3 linked regions of the Drosophila melanogaster genome follow. The protein of the gene in region 1 purifies or fractionates together with the protein of each later gene. This does not show direct contact. Each region holds a gene or a part of one and is shown in the gene's direction. Other genes may lie near its edges.

Evidence for each region.
Region 2: the proteins of Caf1-105 (region 1) and ProtA purify together in Drosophila melanogaster (affinity purification with western blotting; one study listed by BioGRID). This does not show direct contact.
Region 3: the proteins of Caf1-105 (region 1) and ProtB purify together in Drosophila melanogaster (affinity purification with western blotting; one study listed by BioGRID). This does not show direct contact.

Annotation. Positions count from the first base shown.
Region 1 is NT_033778.4:10,464,728-10,471,735, reverse strand, and holds Caf1-105 (chromatin assembly factor 1, p105 subunit), read left to right. Parts: upstream 1-3,195; 5' UTR 3,196-3,290; coding exon 3,291-3,880; intron 3,881-3,939; coding exon 3,940-5,593; 3' UTR 5,594-5,735; downstream 5,736-7,008. Other genes in the region: whd (withered), read left to right, coding at 1-118, 231-296, 987-1,368, 1,431-1,790, 1,851-1,973; CG11777 (uncharacterized protein), read right to left, coding at 2,290-2,535, 2,799-3,035, 3,100-3,102.
Region 2 is NT_033779.5:14,876,509-14,883,417, reverse strand, and holds ProtA (protamine A), read left to right. Parts: upstream 1-1,765; 5' UTR 1,766-1,907; intron 1,908-3,778; 5' UTR 3,779-3,799; coding exon 3,800-4,180; intron 4,181-4,229; coding exon 4,230-4,289; 3' UTR 4,290-4,368; downstream 4,369-6,909. Other genes in the region: ProtB (protamine B), read left to right, coding at 731-1,111, 1,161-1,214.
Region 3 is NT_033779.5:14,881,601-14,887,342, reverse strand, and holds ProtB (protamine B), read left to right. Parts: upstream 1-3,621; 5' UTR 3,622-3,741; intron 3,742-4,634; 5' UTR 4,635-4,655; coding exon 4,656-5,036; intron 5,037-5,085; coding exon 5,086-5,139; 3' UTR 5,140-5,242; downstream 5,243-5,742.

The DNA of each region.
Region 1 (7,008 bases):
TGGACAACTTTGGCAAGAAGCTGCTGCACGGCAATGGCTACAACCGCTGGTTTGACAAGTGTTTCACTGTCTGTGTGGGCACCAATGGTCGCGTTGGCTTCAATGCCGAACACACCTGGTAAGTGGATTCCAATCGCTGCAGCCAATATCTTCCTCTCAGCATCCATAAAATTTCTACGATTTGCCATACTTAACTATCTGAACCGATTTGTAAAATTACAATCCAAAAGGTCCGACGCTGCCATCGCGTCACACATGTGGGAGAACCTGATCGTCGATGATCTTGTATCGGACGGGTAATGATTTTCGATTCCTATACCGCCTGCAATTTTTCGGTTTCGGTTGGCTGCGTTTAGTTATCATCACCTATCACCCATTGTCCCAATCAAAAATTATTATTATTTTTATTAACTCCGGTTGTGGCCTAACAATTTATTTACACCATCTACACTTTTTTTATAGGGCCGATGCACCGGTTTTGGGACACCTGTGGGAGTATATATTTGGTGATGATATTTATGGGTAAACACTTAACTACAATGCACACAAGCACAAAGCAAAGTTATTCAAGTCATTTTTGGGTTGAGTACGAGAGATCACTAGGCGCTAAAAGCTTTAATGATCTCGCCATACAGTAAATACTAGCATAACGAACTTGAAACATACAAAATCTAGTATGCGAATGCCAGACACGTTTTAAGGGATTATTAATTTATTACATGAGGAATAGTTTGATCAGTACGCAGCATATTTTATATAAGCTTATGTTGGCCATTTCAGTTGTTTTTCCTTACTTTCCTTACTGTCTTTATTTACTGTATTTACAAATTGTAATCAACCCAAAAGTAAACATTTAGTTTATTTTGTTTTCGTGACTAACAACAATTACACAAAATTAACAATACTTTGATTTACGTTGCTTGCCATAAATTTGCCCACAAACCGTCTCCCCACAATGCTAACCTATTCCCTTGGTAACCCTGTAGATATGACGAAACGGGTAATACAAAGGGCACCCCGGCGTTCCAGCCACCCACGCCCACTAGGCTCACTTGGGATCTTAAACCATGCCTGGCGCAGATCGAAGAGGCCACCATCGATGTGACGAAGCTTATCAACGAGGTCAATCTGCGCATCCTGGTGCACCAGGATTACGGCAAGGGCTTTATGAAGAAGTGCCGCATCTCACCAGATGCCTACATACAAATGGCCCTGCAGTTGGCCTACTACCGAGATGCCGGTCGCTTCTCGTTGACATATGAGGCTTCAATGACCCGTCTGTTCCGCGAAGGAAGAACTGAGACAGTGCGTCCGTGCACCATTGAGTCATCCGCCTGGGTCAAGGCCATGCAGAACCCAAATACAACCGTAAGATTTTACAATTTTATGTAATTAGATCAAAGGCTAATCCATATATCCATGCTGTACAGAACGATGAGCGTGTGAAGATGATGCAGGCTGCCTGCGATCGTCACCAGTTGGGCTACCAGGATGCCATGTGCGGTCGTGGCATCGACAGGCATCTGTTCTGCCTGTATGTGGTCTCCAAGTACCTGGAGGTGGATTCACCCTTCCTCAACGAGGTGCTCAGCGAACCCTGGCGCCTCTCTACTAGTCAGACTCCGCACGGCCAGACGCCCAAGATGGACCTGAAGAAGCATCCGAACTGCATCAGCGCTGGAGGCGGCTTTGGGCCCGTGGCCGATGATGGTTACGGTGTGTCGTACATTATTGCCGGAGAGAACCTGATATTCTTCCATATCTCAGCGAAGACTACGTGCCAGCAAACGGTAATGAGGAGCCCTGATTCATGGCATGGAGCACAGCTAATCGAATTGTTTTCTTTACAGGATGTGCACCGCTTCGCTCAGAACATATCGCAGGCTCTGTCAGACATTCGCAGCATGTTCGAGCAGCACATGAAGGACCATCCGAAGCCCGCCAAATCACTCACAAACGGCAAATCCACATAATCCCGTTTAGTCCATGTAGTCGAGATTCTTGTTAGCATTTGTTTTTACCCCCCTAGTTGGTCGTTTTAAACACATCTGATACATCCGTCTAGTTCGAAATGAAGTGCAAAAGTCGTCGTGAGAGTTATACATAAACAATGCAATTTTTTATAAACAATTGTGACTTGGCTGGTTTTAAGATTTAGTCTTTAGATACTTTTGCACAATATTTGATGTTTCTCAATCAATTAGTCTGTAATCGAAGAAATCGCGTAACCTTAAGTGCTATAAATATATTTCATTTTAAGCGTACGATTGGCCTTTGTCTCTATCTCTATCACGTCGCCAAAGGATTGGCATGTATAGTTACTCCATTGATCTTCTTGTCCACATGGGGACGATAGTTCTTGGGATTGACGGGCAGTTTCTCCAGTTCATCCAGGGCATCGAATCCATCGATCACACGGCCAAAGAGCGTGTACTTCAAGTCAAGATTTGGCTGGGCGGCATAGGTAATGAAGAACTGGCTGGCATTGGCGTTCGGTCCGTTGTTGGCCATGGAAACCATTCCTCGATCAGTGTGCTGAAGAATTAAGTGGTCAAGAATTAAAGGATTTCTTCTTGTATCTTGGGAATCTTTTAGACTGAAAAACGAACCCAACCACATGACATATTAAAATGTAAAATGATATGGATGTCAACATACATTTTGAGATTCATGTGCTGGTTACATTCTAAGATTAGATACAATATACCCTTTAAAGCCGGAATGCTGGGTATTAAAGCCAGCTGTCATGGCGCAACTGAATGAGGGTTTTTCTGGTAAAACCTAGGTAGCCGGCTCACCTTAATGGTCTCCTTGAATTCGTCGTCGAACTTCTGGCCCCAAATGGACTGTCCATTCTTTCCGGTGTTCGTAGGATCTCCAGTTTGGACAATAAATCCCTTGATGTTTCGGATGAAGACGCAGCCGCTGTAATAGTCGCTCGCACACAGGGCGAGGAAATTTTCGCAGGCCTTGGGGCAGGCATCGCAGAAGAGCTCTATTTTGAGGTCACCCACGTCGGTGTGCAGCGTTACAGACTGCAAACAACACAACAAAATCGGTTAAAACTGTAAGAAATCAGATATTCCAACTTTTGTTTACCATTTTAAAAGTGATTGTGCAGCCCTCGTTTCGATATGCAATCGGTCCATTAACGATAACAGAAATCGAAAACAGCACTATTTGGTATTCCCGTGACCGAAGGTCACACTTTTAGGCGCGAATTCTGCCGCATAAAGTGATTTTTCTCTTCGCACTTCAACTAATCAACAGCGGCACATTAAGTAAACAGGATGAAGTGCAAGATACCCGAGATTTCGTGGCACAACCGCGATCCTGTCCTGAGTGTGGATATACAGCAAAATGGCCTGGGGCTGCGTTCTCCGACGATATGCCGCCTAGCCTCTGGTGGTTCGGATGCCCATGTCCTCATTTGGTATGTTAACCGAAGTGATGACGCCGAGGGCGTGGATGTGGAGCTGGCCGCCGACCTGTCCCGGCATCAGCGTGCCGTCAACGCTGTCCGCTGGTCACCGAACGGAGAACTGCTGGCATCCGGCGATGACGAGAGTGTTGTCTTTATATGGAAACAGAAGGCCGACCACGAAGTTGTCAACATTGTGGACGCCGATGGCTGCAGTGAACAGGACAAGGAGGTCTGGTTGACTCTCAAGGTACTGCGCGGCCATCGCGAGGATATCTACGATCTCAGCTGGGCGCCGAACTCACAGTTTCTGGTCAGCGGATCCGTGGATAACACAGCGATGCTCTGGGATGTGCACAGTGGCAAATCACTGGCTATTCTAGATGACCACAAGGGCTATGTACAGGGCGTGGCATGGGATCCCTGCAATCAATACATCGCCACCATGAGCACCGATAGGTAAGCAGTACAGTCCAAAATGTTCGAACTTTAATCGAATGGAGTTAAATTTCTTTTAGACAAATGCGGATATTTGATGCCAATACCAAGCGAGTTCTGCACCGAGTCAGCAAATGTGTACTCCCAGTAAAAGAGGACCACGAGATGCACGGCAAGAGCATGCGATTGTACCAAGATGGAACCTTGCAGACCTTCTTTCGCCGCTTATGCTTCACACCCGATGGTAAGCTGCTGTTAACGCCGTCAGGAATTACCGACTACGATGGTGTTGTGAAACCCATAAACACCAGCTATGGGTTTAGTCGCCATGATTTGTCCAAACCCGCCTTTGTGCTGCCCTTTCCCAAGGAATATGCGGTGGCTGTTCGCTGCTCTCCGGTACTGTACCGTCTGCGACCGTACAATGCGGAGAAGAATCCTCCGATTATTTCGCTGCCGTACCGCATGATCTATGCTGTGGCCACAAAGAACGCTGTGTTTTTCTACGACACCCAGCAGCCGGTGCCGTTTGCCATTGTGTCCAACATTCACTATAGCAGGCTTACGGATTTGGCCTGGTCGAGCGACGGCACCGTCCTGATCGTGTCCAGCACCGATGGCTACTGCTCACTGATTACCTTCGAGCCAACCGAGCTGGGCGACTGCTATGAAGATATGGAAACAGTGCTGAGCGTTGTTCTAAAATCTTCAGAGAATGCAACGGTGTTGAAAAAGAAGAGGCAAAAGCTGCGCAAGGTATCGTTGGATGAACCACGGAAACCACTGCAGGAAAAATCGAAACCAAATACAATTAGAAGGGCGTCCGAAGCAGGTATCACAGAGGTAGGGGAACCCGAGTTGGATGCTGAAAACGATTCATCAACGCACAGTGTCAGTTCGAATAAAACGAACAGTCCCAAAACAAAAGCTAGCGAAGAGGAGAAACCCACTCCCATCGCCATCAGGCGTTCGCCCCGTAAAAATTCGACTGCACCCATGCCGATTGCTATACGCAGAGCTCCGCGTAAGCCCGAGGATAAGGGGAATAGCGAATCGAGCAAGCCCAAAGACGAAATGGAAGTTACTCACACAAAAACGACTCAAGTGCAGAAAACAGTGGCATCACCTGTCAAGCGCAAGGTGAGCACAGAGGCAGTGCCTCCAGCAGAGACATCACAGCCGGCACTTGCAGTGATTCCGGTGTTCGAGAAGGAGATCATCAGTTCTGATGATAAGTTCGAATCGCCTGAGAAGAAGTCCCGACCCGCAACACCAATTCAAGTGCGTCGCCAGCCACGAACTCCTGGCAGCTCCAGCCAATTTAATCTAACGCCGAAAAGCCAACCCGCCAAGCAAGCTACTCCCATTGCAGTGAGGAGAACTCCACGCGTACTCATCGAAATGCCGGTGAACTCGCCTGTGGTCCCAATGGAGGAGGCCATGGATGCCTGGCCCCTCGACGAGAGCATCACACCCCTGCCAGCGACAAAGAAGGATTCTCGAAAACCCTTGCCGGAGACTGTAAAGACCGAAACGAAACCAGCGGTAATAGAGGCCAGCGAGGCCACCTGCGAGCGAACTGAGGACATTCGTCTGGTCTACGAGGATACGCAAGAGGAAACGCCAAAAAATCCGACTGAATCGGGGCCATCCACGCCGAATAACAAGACGCCACGTCGCGTGTCCTTGCGAACCATATCCACGCCCAAATCAAAAAAGAAACTTTTAGAGTAGACAATGCAATAGATTAGACTTAACAGATTTATGTTCATAAGATTAAGATTTTTGGGATCTTTGGGGATACCCCATACAAAATTGTAAAAAATAGCCAAAATTCTTCCTAATATATTCCACAATAAAACGCAACACAAGGTTTAGAGGTAATTGTATTGCTTTGGCTTCGGGATCTTTAAAACGAAAATTGCAGTCAAAATGCAGTAGTAATTTGCAGTTTGTACAGTTTCAGTAGTTCCTATATCAACATACACGATTCTTCTACCTGTGACAAAAGTCATCTGATAAGTTATGTGACTGTACTGGTCAACTGTACCACGAAATCCTCAAATTAAAAATGCTTCAAGAGGGTTGTTCTACCTGGTCCCAAGTTAAGTTTCCATGAATTTGCACGGGGACGTATTTTTTGGAAGGACTTTGTGAAAAGACATTTATTACCAGACAGCTAAATATTTTCAAGCAAAATTGCGACGAAAACAGATTTTTTACTTTTCCGTGACTAATAAGTGGCACCAAATTTTTTAATTTTCCCCTTTACTTTTTCACCACTTTTCCTCCTGATTCTTAAAATTGTTTGAAAGTCGTGCCATGCAATCTGTCCTAGCGCGCTTCGTCACTACGTGGACTGCCGTCGCCAGTGATGTATTTTCGGACCCAGTAGATGGGTCTATCTTTTCATTCAGAAACAACAAACTTGCTTGGTTTTATTTATATTTATTTAAATTGTAGATGATCTCTAACGTTTTGAGTTTCTTTTACATACAAACATTTTGGTTTACTTCAGTTTTTTATATCATTATTTTTATGTTTTATATATTATTTTAAATTTTTAATTCAACGATTCAAATTCATTCATCATGTTCGAGCTTAGTTAGCTTCCGTGGCTCGCCTCAAACTCATTTTAAAAATTTTCCATGGGCCATTAGCTACACTTCATCCATGTGGTCATTAGAGAGAGGAAAGGAGCTCAAGAATTGAGGAGAATTATATTTCCACATACGTTAATATAGGTAAGTATATAAATAGTTAAACAAATCTGATCTGTTGCATGGGACAACCAAAGCATTTATAATTAGGCTACAAATTAGATTAGATACAATGTCTAAACTTTGTCTAACCTATACTCTTGGTTCCACTGGCCATCTCGTCTTTCCTCCAGCTCCTCTTAAAATCCCAAAGTTTGGTATTCGCCACTCACAAAAAATCGTGTGTCTGAATGTCCTTGGACATTTGATTCGAAGTAATTCACATTACCGTTGTTATAGCTCTTTATGGATTTCACTTATAAATGTTTTAACTGCTATTAAAGTAATTTTAGTAGTGGTGCGACTTGCGATTTTATGAGTTATGTGGGTGTGTGTGGAGCAAAGAGGTGTATGAGCTTTAGAAAAATATGAATTATGTTTGATTCCATT
Region 2 (6,909 bases), on another chromosome or scaffold:
GTAAAATTCATTGAGATGCGATTAAAATAATGTCGACTGCAAGGTTATGGGGCGTGTTGCACCAAAGTGTTGCAAGTCAAAGCGGAAATTCGGCGGCCACGCCTTTTTGGCGGCCGGCGTGTTTGTCTCGATGTCGGATGGATGTGGCCCTCCTATCTGGCTTTAAACTAATGCCGGGGCAGTCTGTCGACAGGCAACCACCTTGCCACGCCCCACGCCTTGTAATGACGTTATTTACATGCTGCAACAACACTGGCAGCAAGCGCGGGCAATTAAATAAATCATAGCGGTTCACGCGGTTCGGCCGAAAGAAAGATCCAGTTAATCTAAAGAGAAACTCTTAGTTCTTTCTTTCGTTGTCAGAGTGAAATTGTAAATAAATTACACGTCCTGATTGATCAACTTTTTGTTCGTTACAAAACAACGTCGGGAATCAGATTGCAACTGTTATTAATTATGGGCTTTGTTGCAGTTGCAACCGCTTGTCTCCTGCTGTTCAGGTCTTCATCCTGGTCGGTAGGGCTTGGGCTTTACTTTTGGTTTGAGACTCGGATTGCTCACTGAATAAGTGACTTCTCTAGGACGCAACTCTGCGGCTTCTGGGGCCAACACTCACATGCGGGGGGAACATACTCCATCACAGTTGATGGCTGACATCGTACACAACAAATAAATCCCATATAAAACTTCCCTTTCCTTTTCTTTTCAGAGTTTGTAAAAATTTTCTACGATGAGTTCAAATAATGTAAATGAGTGCAAGAGCCTGTGGAATGGCATAATTTCCATTTCTGCAAAAGATGAAAGTCCTAAAGGTCTCACTGAAATGTGTAATCATCCAAAGAGGAGAGCACCGCCCAAATGTAAGCCAATGAAGTCCTGTGCAAAGCCGCGCCGAAAGGCAGCCTGTGCCAAGGCGACTCGGCCCAAGGTCAAGTGTGCACCGAGTCAGAAGTGCAGCAAGCAGGGACCTGTCACTAACAACGCCTATTTGAATTTCGTGCGTTTCTTCCGAAAGAAGCACTGTGACTTGAAGCCGCAGGAATTAATTGCAGAGGCCGCTAAAGCGTGGGCCGAGCTCCCGGAGCATAGAAAGGATAGATACCGCCGGATGGTACGTATTTTTTTTTTATATTATGAAGACTATTAATTTGTCCTTTCAGGCATGCAAGGTCACCACCAGTGAACGCCACAAGCGCCGACGGATTTGCAAGTAATACTGAGATAGGAAAAAGTCTGATGCAGTTAAGTCCAGGCATATATTTTCATTGATTTGATACCATTCGATGAATTTAGAAATAAAAAAAATTAAAAACCGGGTTTCATTTTTTTTACGATTCTAGGATGTTGGAATAGCGCGAATGGGTATTTGTGGTTGTTCCAGGTGCCCGGCGAAATTCAATTTATTATTCCACTATATGAGCTTTCTAATGAGCTGTGATCCAAAGAAATGAAACGGCTGAGTGGTAAATGGGCACGGCAATGGTGAATTCGAAGATATGGATAGGCTTCTGCTTCAAGCTTTTCCACAGTTCTCTGACCAGGCGTCTGTTGTGAGACAATCGAAATACCCAAAAATTGTTTCACATAATTTATGCCACCTATGAGGAAAACTTGCCACACTGCCACTGGCAAAGGGAAACATGGGGGCGTAACCACCTAACAGAAGGATGTTTCCCAGGATGCGTATCCGCCGGCGTCGTTTCGATCAAATCTAACTTTATTCCATATAGTTGGCGTAGGTTTTGCCGTATACCCCTTATACCGGGCAGTCGGTTTTTTTAAACATTAGTTGTAACTTGGTACACAAACAGTTCACAAGCAAAATTTTTCCAAAAGTCTTATTTTTATGCTCTTCTTAAAAATTAGTTGTGACAAAAATTTGGTTTAAAAAAAAAAACTTTATAAAGGTAAGTGAAATAAAACGAATTACAATTTATTTTTACAGAACAACATACCATACAAATTATTTTAAACGAAGCGCATAATTATTTTTTATTGGTATGCCAATCAGTTTCGATAAACTTCATTTGAAAAAATTTTACTTTCAAAAATTTCTTTTAAAGAAGCTTTTGTGAAATTCAGTTCTGTAAATGCATTGTGATGCGATTAAATTAATGTCGACTGTCGACGTGGCGTGTTTGCCTCGATATCGGATGGATGTGGCCCTCCTATCTGGCTTTAAACTAATGCCGGGGGTAGTCTGTCGACAGGCAACCACCTTGCCACGCCCCACGCCTTGTAATGACGTCATTTACATGCTGCAACAACACTGGCAGCAAGCGCGGGCAATTAAATAAATCATAGCGGTTCACGCGGTTCGGCCGAAAGAAAGATCGAGTTAATGTGAAGAGAAACTCTTAGTTCTTTCTTTCGTTGTCAGAGTGAAATTGTAAATAAATTACACGTCCTGATTGATCAACTTTTTGCTCGTTGACAACCATAAAAGGGCAGTAGACAGGGGGCACACTGTCATTGTGGCCGAAAATGTCCAGGCAGCCGCTCGTAAACATAAATCCAAGTGACGCTAATTGTTTGTTGCAATTACTGCTGCAGTTGTTGCCACCGTTCAGTTACGTGTGCAGCCAAATGGGGCAATGAGTGGGGTTTTGGGCTAAGGGGTGGTGAGTAGGGACTTGTGCTTGCATGCAAATTTTGTTGCATCTGCAGTTGCTGCTGCTTGTGCTGCTGCTTGTGCTGCTGTTGACGCTGCAGCAACGGCAAACAATTACTCAAACATTGTTGCATCTGCTGCTGATGTTGCTGGCACTCATCTCGTTGTGCGTGCTAAATGGCAACTACTCTGGCGGCTAATGATAATCACTCGACGCCCTCAGCTCCTGTCGGTTCCTACTTAGTTTTACCTGCCCTCGTTGGCTTTTAAATCTAGTTTAGCACTTAATCAATCAAGGCTTCCTTTCATTGAAGAAAAATAGCTTTGAAGATAACTTCCTCCCGGCGAAGCCCCAATAATATCCATTCAACTCGTGCTGTTTTTTTTTATATTGATCCACAAGATAATTTTAAGTTCGAAGAGCCAAAAGGAGCATATTGGGCCTTCAATGAAGCTCTCTAGCTAAAGCGAATTTTGTATTCCAACTGGGTGTTCAGTGGGGTTTGATAGACAATGCAGGCAGTGTGGTGCGATGGCACAGCTGGTCACAAATTGTAATTTGTACACATCCATAACGATTTCAAATTAATATTTCGAATTAATATTTGTCAAGCCCAAAATATCAGCTGTGGGTGGCAAATAAATTGCTCGGATTTGAGGAAACTTCAGTAATCTTGAATTATACAGATATTGGTTTAGCTTTTTTATCCTTGGAGAGTCCTTCTATTAATTATTTACCACTGCCCATTTGCTGTCGGGTACTAATTTTCATTACAAACTACTGTAGATTTCCATGACAATTATATAACCAGTTCTTAATACTCATTGGTCTTGGCTAAGAACCGCCACTTAGGCTCCCACACATGGTGACTAAACGTCGGTTGTCGGGAGGCAGCTTGCAACTGTTATTAATTATGGGCTTTGTTGCAGTTGCAACCGCTTGTCTCCTGCTGTTCAGATCTTCATCCTGGTCGGTAGGGCTTGGGCTTTACTTCTGGTTTGAGACTCGGGTTGCTCACTGATTAAGTGACTTCTCTAGGACGCAACTCTGCGGCTTCTGGGGCCAACACTCACATGCGGGGGGAACATACTCCATCACAGTTGATGGCTGACATCGTACACAACAAATAAATCCCATATAAAACTTCCCTTTCCTTTTCTTTTCAGAGTTTGTAAAAATTTTCTACGATGAGTTCAAATAATGTAAATGAGTGCAAGAGCCTGTGGAATGGCATAATTTCCATTTCTGCAAAAGATGAAAGTCCTAAAGGTCTCACTGAAATGTGTAATCATCCAATAAGGAGAGCACCTCAAAAATGTAAGCCAATGAAGTCCTGTGCAAAGCCGCGCCGAAAGGCAGCCTGTGCCAAGGCGACTCGGCCCAAGGTCAAGTGTGCACCGAGGCAGAAGTGCAGCAAGCAGGGACCTGTCACTAACAACGCCTATTTGAATTTTGTGCGTTCCTTCCGAAAGAAGCACTGTAACTTGAAACCGCGGGAATTAATTGCAAAGGCCGCTAAAGCGTGGGCCAGGCTCTCGGAGAATAGAAAGGATCGATACCGCCGGATGGTACGTATATTTTTTATGTTATGAAGACTATTCATTGGTGTCCTTTCAGGCATGCAAGGTCACCACCAGTGAACGCCACAAGCGCCGACGGATTTGCCAGCAATACTGAGATAGGAAAAAGTCTGATGCAGTTAAGTCCAGGCATATCCTTTCCTAACATTCGATGAATTTAGAAATAAAAACCAATTAAAAATCGTGTACTTTTTATTACGATTCTAGGATGTTGGAATAGCGCGAATGGGTATTTGTGGTTGTTTCCAGGTGCCCGTCGAATTTCAATTTATTATTCCACTATATGAGCTTTTGCATGAATAGATAATGAGCTGTGATCCGAGGAAATGGAACGGGAAAACTGCTAAGGCTGAGCGGTAAATGGGCACGGCATTGGGAATTCGAAGGTATAGGAGGAGTTGCGTGTGCTTCAAGCTTTCCAGAGTTCTCTGACCCGTCGTCTGTTCTGAGACAGCTAAATTGAATTATTAATAACACGCAGTGCCCGCAATGTTATGGATGCCATAAACCCGTTTCTGCAACTGTTCTGTGAGTAAATGTAATGCACATTGTGGTTTTGGGAAGACAACCTTGGGACAGTTGGCAAAAATAGCAAACGAAAAGGCGAATGGAACGGAACGGACTAATCGCAGCACTTACGACCATAATTTGTCAATTTTCGAAACAATTCCCAAGGCTCGCATAAATTGTCTGGTGGCCTCCTGTCTCCTTTTCCCTGTCGTTGGCTTTTGGCACCCATTACAGCTCATTTCTCTTACTCAGAGAAACATTGCGCAGTGAAAAATGAAAGTGAACCCGAAACAGTGACGAACTGAAGCGGTCTTGTTTCGAAAAAAAAGAGGAAATAAAAGGCATTTAAATGCCGTTGTGTGCATAAATTACTCAGGAGCTGACATTTTCCCACATAAATGTGTAAATGAGTCTCAGTTTTCGCCGTTTTATTTCAGCTCCGTTTGCAAATGAAATTGAAATGAATGCAGAAATGGAGTTAAAAGAGCTTGGCTTTTTCGGTTATAACTTGTTGCGCTTGCTGATTGAAAATGGGGCTGATATATGAATTTCAACGCTTGGCCTTATCTTATTTAAATTTGAAATTCTACACATTCAGTTTCATAAACTTTTATTAGCAATGAACATAATAACTGAAGTATATATAAAATTATATTAAAAAATATGTGCCACCAAGTAAAGTCCCCAATCGAATAAATATAATGGAGAATTACTAAAAGCTATGGCAAATAAAAATTCACTTAGCTAACAAGAAAAGAAAATCGAATCGAATCAAAAAAAAAAAAAAAAAAAAAAAACAACCGCCGTGGTCCTTTGTTTCTGGCCAAAAAGGAAATGTTCGGAAAATTACCGCTCCTTTGTGCATTTGGCCCAAAGATAACTGCCGGCCAAATGACACACATTAGGGCCAAGCCAAGGTAGTTTTTGTGGAAAGGAGGCTGATACGGCTTCTGTGTGCGAAATCAATTCAAGCTCGATTTACTTTGATGAAATGGTAAGTGTGTTCGGGCCATGCCAGACGTACGTGACAGTTATTCTTAAATGGCCCAAACGAACAAATTACTAAAAATAAAAGGTATAATGCAATGTGGAAGGTGTGGCCCGAGAGTGCGCAGCTCCCAATGTGAATTGTAGAATATTGATCCGAAAATCGTTCAATTAATAACGCAAATCCTTTATGGTCAGTTACCAGGGACAGCAGCCCGTTAATTAATGCACTTGTCTGTTCCATCCTCCAATCGCCTTATCTCATCCAGCACTTCCCTTCCCTCTGCCGACGATGATAAATGCTTAATTAAGTTTGCAACATTTAAAAAATGCCCGATTCGGTAGCCCTGGCAAAGGATTACATCATATTTAATCAGAGTCATTATTTATAATGATACCGCTTGCATGAGGCATTATAGCGACTGCTCGTGAAATATGCCACAAGTTATCAAAAGCCCGAAGTAAGCGCCATATCATATAAGCGTTAATAAGTGAATTCCATGAGAGCTCCGATGAGTGTCCTGGAAAGTTATTTCGTGGACATGAATAAATTGTGAAACACTCTCATTGTTTCTTATATTTTATTAATGAGGTTTCAAGATTTAATATTTTTTAATCACAGTGGGCCGCGTTGGTAATTTCGCAAATAATTCCTTATGTGACTCTGTGCTTTCTACAAGCTTACAGTCATCCTTTTCGGTAGAGTGGGCCAAAGTGCAGTTACCGCTCGAGTTGAAGTAAATTAATTAACAATGTTTATTGTTTGTATAATATGCGAATATTGCCTTGCATTGTCATTGTGTGGTTATTGTTTTCGTAACTCTTATTGCTGTTGCTGTAGTTGTTCAAAAGTTGTTGCAGTTGTCGCTGCAGTTTCTGATGTTTGTGGCCGCTTTGCTGACTGACAGTCAATTTGCAGCAGCACTTAAAATGTGCAGGAATGTTTTACATTATTTGCACAGGCTGGAAATTTAAATTAAATTATTATGCTTTGCTCTCTACTATTGCATTGTCTTGACTCTGATGTTCCATCTTCATCAGGCACTTTGGTCACTGGAATAATCTGTTAATTGGTAATTGTAAACCATTAGGTTTGTAGATACCTGCGGCCGAATACTCTTAATTGTAGGCATAATAATCGAGGCGATATTAATGGAAGATGTTAATGCATCTTGATAAATTGCGTGGCCATAGATCCTGAGAGTGGAAGAGATACAATT
Region 3 (5,742 bases), on another chromosome or scaffold:
CCAGCAACAGCAACAAGGAGCAGAGGCAAAATTTGAACAATCTTGAATCTAAGCGAATGTCTAGGCTCCTTTTTCATTTTGAAGCATGGTTGGAAAATGTGATTGCAGATATTGTATATACATATTGTAATAAGACATCTTTTCTATTTGGCGCTATCTGGGTATCCTATACAAAAATAAACAAAAGAAATAAACCCGCTGCATTTTGCAATTACTCGTAGTTTAAATAGTCTTCACTACGATTATCCCGCTTCGTACGACAGCAAATTGAAAATATAATTGTGTTAACCGCATTTCGAGTTCAATCTTATAATTTGTTCGAAGCCTGTTTCTCTGATGATTATTTTCGTATGCTGATTTTATTGAAATAATTAAGCGCGGAAAATGCCGAAGGTGCGCAATTCATTGATGACCCAAAAGTGACACTTGCACATTCATTTGTAGCACTTTTATTCGAATTTTTTTTTTATTTTTTTTATTTCGGGTGTGTGTGTGTGCGTTGCGCGTTGGATTTAAATTGCATTCTGTTCGAAACTGTCCGATGGCCAATGCCTGCTTGCAATAAATTCGCTTAATGAAGTTTTAAAAAATACCAACTGCTTGTGGGCGTTGTCAGCGCGATCCGCGTGTTATGCAGGAAATGCATTTAATGTAATTATTTCTTTAATTAAAATATTTAGCGCAACAGCAGGAGCAACAACAACAATGTCGCGGGGGCACCGACGTTAACAATTTGCACAAAAGTCACGTCGTTGCTTTTATTATTGTTAATGTTGTTATAATTCCTCGAATCGGCCATTCGGCTTAATTGAAACCATTAAAAATACCGTTGCAATCGGCAAAACGTTGCATACTTCAGGGGGCCACGTGATTAAAAACGTATTCCATGATGAAACATATGCATAAAGATTTCATATTTAAGCCCTATTAAGCCAAAATATCAAAAGCTGCCTATTGCATAAAATCAGTCATCAAGTAATTTCCTGGCCAGTTAAATGCAACTACTTGAAAATTCCATTTAGAATTTCAATTGCATTCTGCTAAATATGGGGACTCCCTCCCCCAAACAATATCCCCATTCATTTCTCCAGTTGGACGAGTGCCAGGCAAAGGTTAATTTACTTGAAAAATTCCGGAATGCTTATTCTTAACAAATATGCGAGCAATTGCTTAGCTTACTTTTCAGAGGAATTGAATTGGCTTTGGGTACAAAAGAACGAAGGATGGAACGAAATGCCAATGTGGCACTAACAACTGCGCTGATTTATCTGCACAAATTGCCAACTGAAATTAATAAGAGAAATCAGTTTACCATTTCCTGTCGACGACTACAACAAGGAGTTTGAGGACGACAAAAATACTAGAAAAATGCCAACTAATAGTCTATTGTCGATGCCGTTTCTAGGGATTCTCGAGAATGGGTAGTGGAAATGAAGAGACATTCCAATAACTGTACAACATCCGGTTGCATACACACATACACACACATATAATTCCAAACACAATGGCAAAATCGTTTCCATTTTCAATGGAAAATATTTCTATTTCAACATGAAAATATTTTTAGCAGCCTTTTGTGTGGGATATCTAAACGACTCTTCACCTGACGACGACCAGATAAAAATTTCTGCTTCGGCAAAGAAAACTGATAAAAAGTAAAAAAAAATAGTACCAAAACCAAGAAAAATTCAATCTTAATCCAGTCGCTCGGCAGGATATTTTTTATAGACAGAAAAGTAACTAACAAGAGTAGGGCAACGACAAAAAAAAAAAGACCAAATGGATGCTGTGCACTTAGACCTTAGGTATGGCTTTGCTGAATGGAACCAGTGACGTATGCACTTGACTTGCACATTTGCGGTGGCAGAAAGCCTCTGGAACTCAATTCGAGCCACATCGCCAGCCAAATCCAAAGAAAAATAGTTATTGTTAGAGCCACGAGGACAGCGCCAACGACGAAGGCAGTAAGTAGCTTTATTATGGGATTTTAAGTTATTACACCGGCAACCCGATGGCAAACGGGGCATTCGGGGAGCAGGAAAACAGCATCCAGCAGCGATGATAATCTGGGCGTCATTGCGAGCACTCACATATGCGACTCCTTGCACTTGATTCGAGGACTTAGCCCATGTGATGACGTGATGCCCTTTGGCCTATAGCCAAATTTGTCAACATGATTTGGATGAAAATCATTTCGTTTTCCGTCGCTCACGTTTTGCGACTTATTTATTGCTATTTGGGCTGCTGTGATTGATTGGATTTTTAAATTTAAAGCTGATTTTTATAAATAGGTACCACTTTCGACCATATAAAGTATATATATTCTTGATCAGGATCAACTGCCGAGTCGAACTGGACATGACTGTCTCAGGAACTGTAAAAGCTAGAAGGTTGAGATACATGCATACGTACATGCTCTAGAGACATAGACACATATATATATTTCATATTATTATTAGTCTTATGCATTTCTACTTAAAAACTTTTTGCCACGCCCACTCTAAAAATGTTTACCCTAAAATATCTTAATACAAAAATAATTGCCTTGTTTCGCTACCCGAATGTCCCCATCATTGCGAGCTAAATGTCAACCTCTTGACAGTTTGTTTCATAAGATGCGGACACTGATACTTTTATGTGTGCCCTTACTTTGACCCAGTTAATAATTCAGTAGCGTAGCATCAGGCTACAATGAGTGTCCTACCCGCCCCTGGGTACATCAGTTTGGGTGTCAGTATTTGACACTGAGGCTAATTTAATGGAAAATGAGAACGGAGAACTTGAAATTTGTATTTATCGCGACACGCAATGGAAGCGTTTTCGCCGCGAGGCGGAAGTAACAAAATATAGTACACAGGACCCGACTCATGTGGTTCATATTTTAGCTGACATATCTATTTATATGCAAATGCCACACCTCCTCAGTCACCTGGACTTTGTCTACTCTCCCTGTGTGCGTGCCAAAGTCAAAGCCGAGGAATTTCCCTTTGTTGTTTTGGCATTCCTGCAACAATAAATCACGGCACCTATGCTAAAGGCGCGAGGAACAGCGGGGTAAAAACTAATAAATCTAAGGCCAATTAATTGACTTAACTGGTGCTGGAAAAGGCAGAGACCAAAGATGAACCGACGGAAAAGGAAGCGGCAAAGCCAACGGCAGAGGCAAAGCCAAAGGCAAAGACTCCAAAGGGTCGCAATTTATGGCCGCACCATCAACTTGAGCCCGCACATAATAAATCATAACATTTTACAGATAATAGAAAACCTCACACATGTCCAAACAATCGGAATCCCCAAGACGTTTCGCCCAAAATTTCTTAGCCACACCGAGTTTGTTAGCCCGGCGGCTAGAAATTTTAATAAGCCGCATAGAGTTTGGCACGAGCAATAGTGGGTATAAAAATTGTTTCACATAATTTATGCCACCTATGAGGAAAACTTGCCACACTGCCACTGGCAAATGGAAACATGGGGGCGTAACCACCTAACAGAAGGATGTTTCCCAGGATGCGTATCCGCCGGCGTCGTTTCGATCAAATCTAACTTTATTCCATATAGTTGGCGTAGGTTTTGCCGTATACCCCTTATACCGGGCAGTCGGTTTTTTTAAACATTAGTTGTAACTTGGTACACAAACAGTTCACAAGCAAAATTTTTCCAAAAATTTATAGTCTTATTTTTATGATCTTCTTAAAAATTAGTTGTGACAAAAATTTGGTTTTTATAAAAAACTTCATAAGGGTAAGTGAAATAAAACGAATTACGATTTATTTTTACAAAATAACATACCAACAAATCAATTGTTTAAAACGAAGCGCATAATTACTTTCTATTGGTATGCTAATCAGTTTCGATAAACTTCATTTGAAAAAAAATTTTACTTTTATAATTCTCTTTTAAAGAAGCTTTTGTGAAATTCAGTTCTGTAAAATTCATTGAGATGCGATTAAAATAATGTCGACTGCAAGGTTATGGGGCGTGTTGCACCAAAGTGTTGCAAGTCAAAGCGGAAATTCGGCGGCCACGCCTTTTTGGCGGCCGGCGTGTTTGTCTCGATGTCGGATGGATGTGGCCCTCCTATCTGGCTTTAAACTAATGCCGGGGCAGTCTGTCGACAGGCAACCACCTTGCCACGCCCCACGCCTTGTAATGACGTTATTTACATGCTGCAACAACACTGGCAGCAAGCGCGGGCAATTAAATAAATCATAGCGGTTCACGCGGTTCGGCCGAAAGAAAGATCCAGTTAATCTAAAGAGAAACTCTTAGTTCTTTCTTTCGTTGTCAGAGTGAAATTGTAAATAAATTACACGTCCTGATTGATCAACTTTTTGTTCGTTACAAAACAACGTCGGGAATCAGATTGCAACTGTTATTAATTATGGGCTTTGTTGCAGTTGCAACCGCTTGTCTCCTGCTGTTCAGGTCTTCATCCTGGTCGGTAGGGCTTGGGCTTTACTTTTGGTTTGAGACTCGGATTGCTCACTGAATAAGTGACTTCTCTAGGACGCAACTCTGCGGCTTCTGGGGCCAACACTCACATGCGGGGGGAACATACTCCATCACAGTTGATGGCTGACATCGTACACAACAAATAAATCCCATATAAAACTTCCCTTTCCTTTTCTTTTCAGAGTTTGTAAAAATTTTCTACGATGAGTTCAAATAATGTAAATGAGTGCAAGAGCCTGTGGAATGGCATAATTTCCATTTCTGCAAAAGATGAAAGTCCTAAAGGTCTCACTGAAATGTGTAATCATCCAAAGAGGAGAGCACCGCCCAAATGTAAGCCAATGAAGTCCTGTGCAAAGCCGCGCCGAAAGGCAGCCTGTGCCAAGGCGACTCGGCCCAAGGTCAAGTGTGCACCGAGTCAGAAGTGCAGCAAGCAGGGACCTGTCACTAACAACGCCTATTTGAATTTCGTGCGTTTCTTCCGAAAGAAGCACTGTGACTTGAAGCCGCAGGAATTAATTGCAGAGGCCGCTAAAGCGTGGGCCGAGCTCCCGGAGCATAGAAAGGATAGATACCGCCGGATGGTACGTATTTTTTTTTTATATTATGAAGACTATTAATTTGTCCTTTCAGGCATGCAAGGTCACCACCAGTGAACGCCACAAGCGCCGACGGATTTGCAAGTAATACTGAGATAGGAAAAAGTCTGATGCAGTTAAGTCCAGGCATATATTTTCATTGATTTGATACCATTCGATGAATTTAGAAATAAAAAAAATTAAAAACCGGGTTTCATTTTTTTTACGATTCTAGGATGTTGGAATAGCGCGAATGGGTATTTGTGGTTGTTCCAGGTGCCCGGCGAAATTCAATTTATTATTCCACTATATGAGCTTTCTAATGAGCTGTGATCCAAAGAAATGAAACGGCTGAGTGGTAAATGGGCACGGCAATGGTGAATTCGAAGATATGGATAGGCTTCTGCTTCAAGCTTTTCCACAGTTCTCTGACCAGGCGTCTGTTGTGAGACAATCGAAATACCCAAAAATTGTTTCACATAATTTATGCCACCTATGAGGAAAACTTGCCACACTGCCACTGGCAAAGGGAAACATGGGGGCGTAACCACCTAACAGAAGGATGTTTCCCAGGATGCGTATCCGCCGGCGTCGTTTCGATCAAATCTAACTTTATTCCATATAGTTGGCGTAGGTTTTGCCGTATACCCCTTATACCGGGCAGTCGGTTTTTTTAAACATTAGTTGTAACTTGGTACACAAACAGTTCACA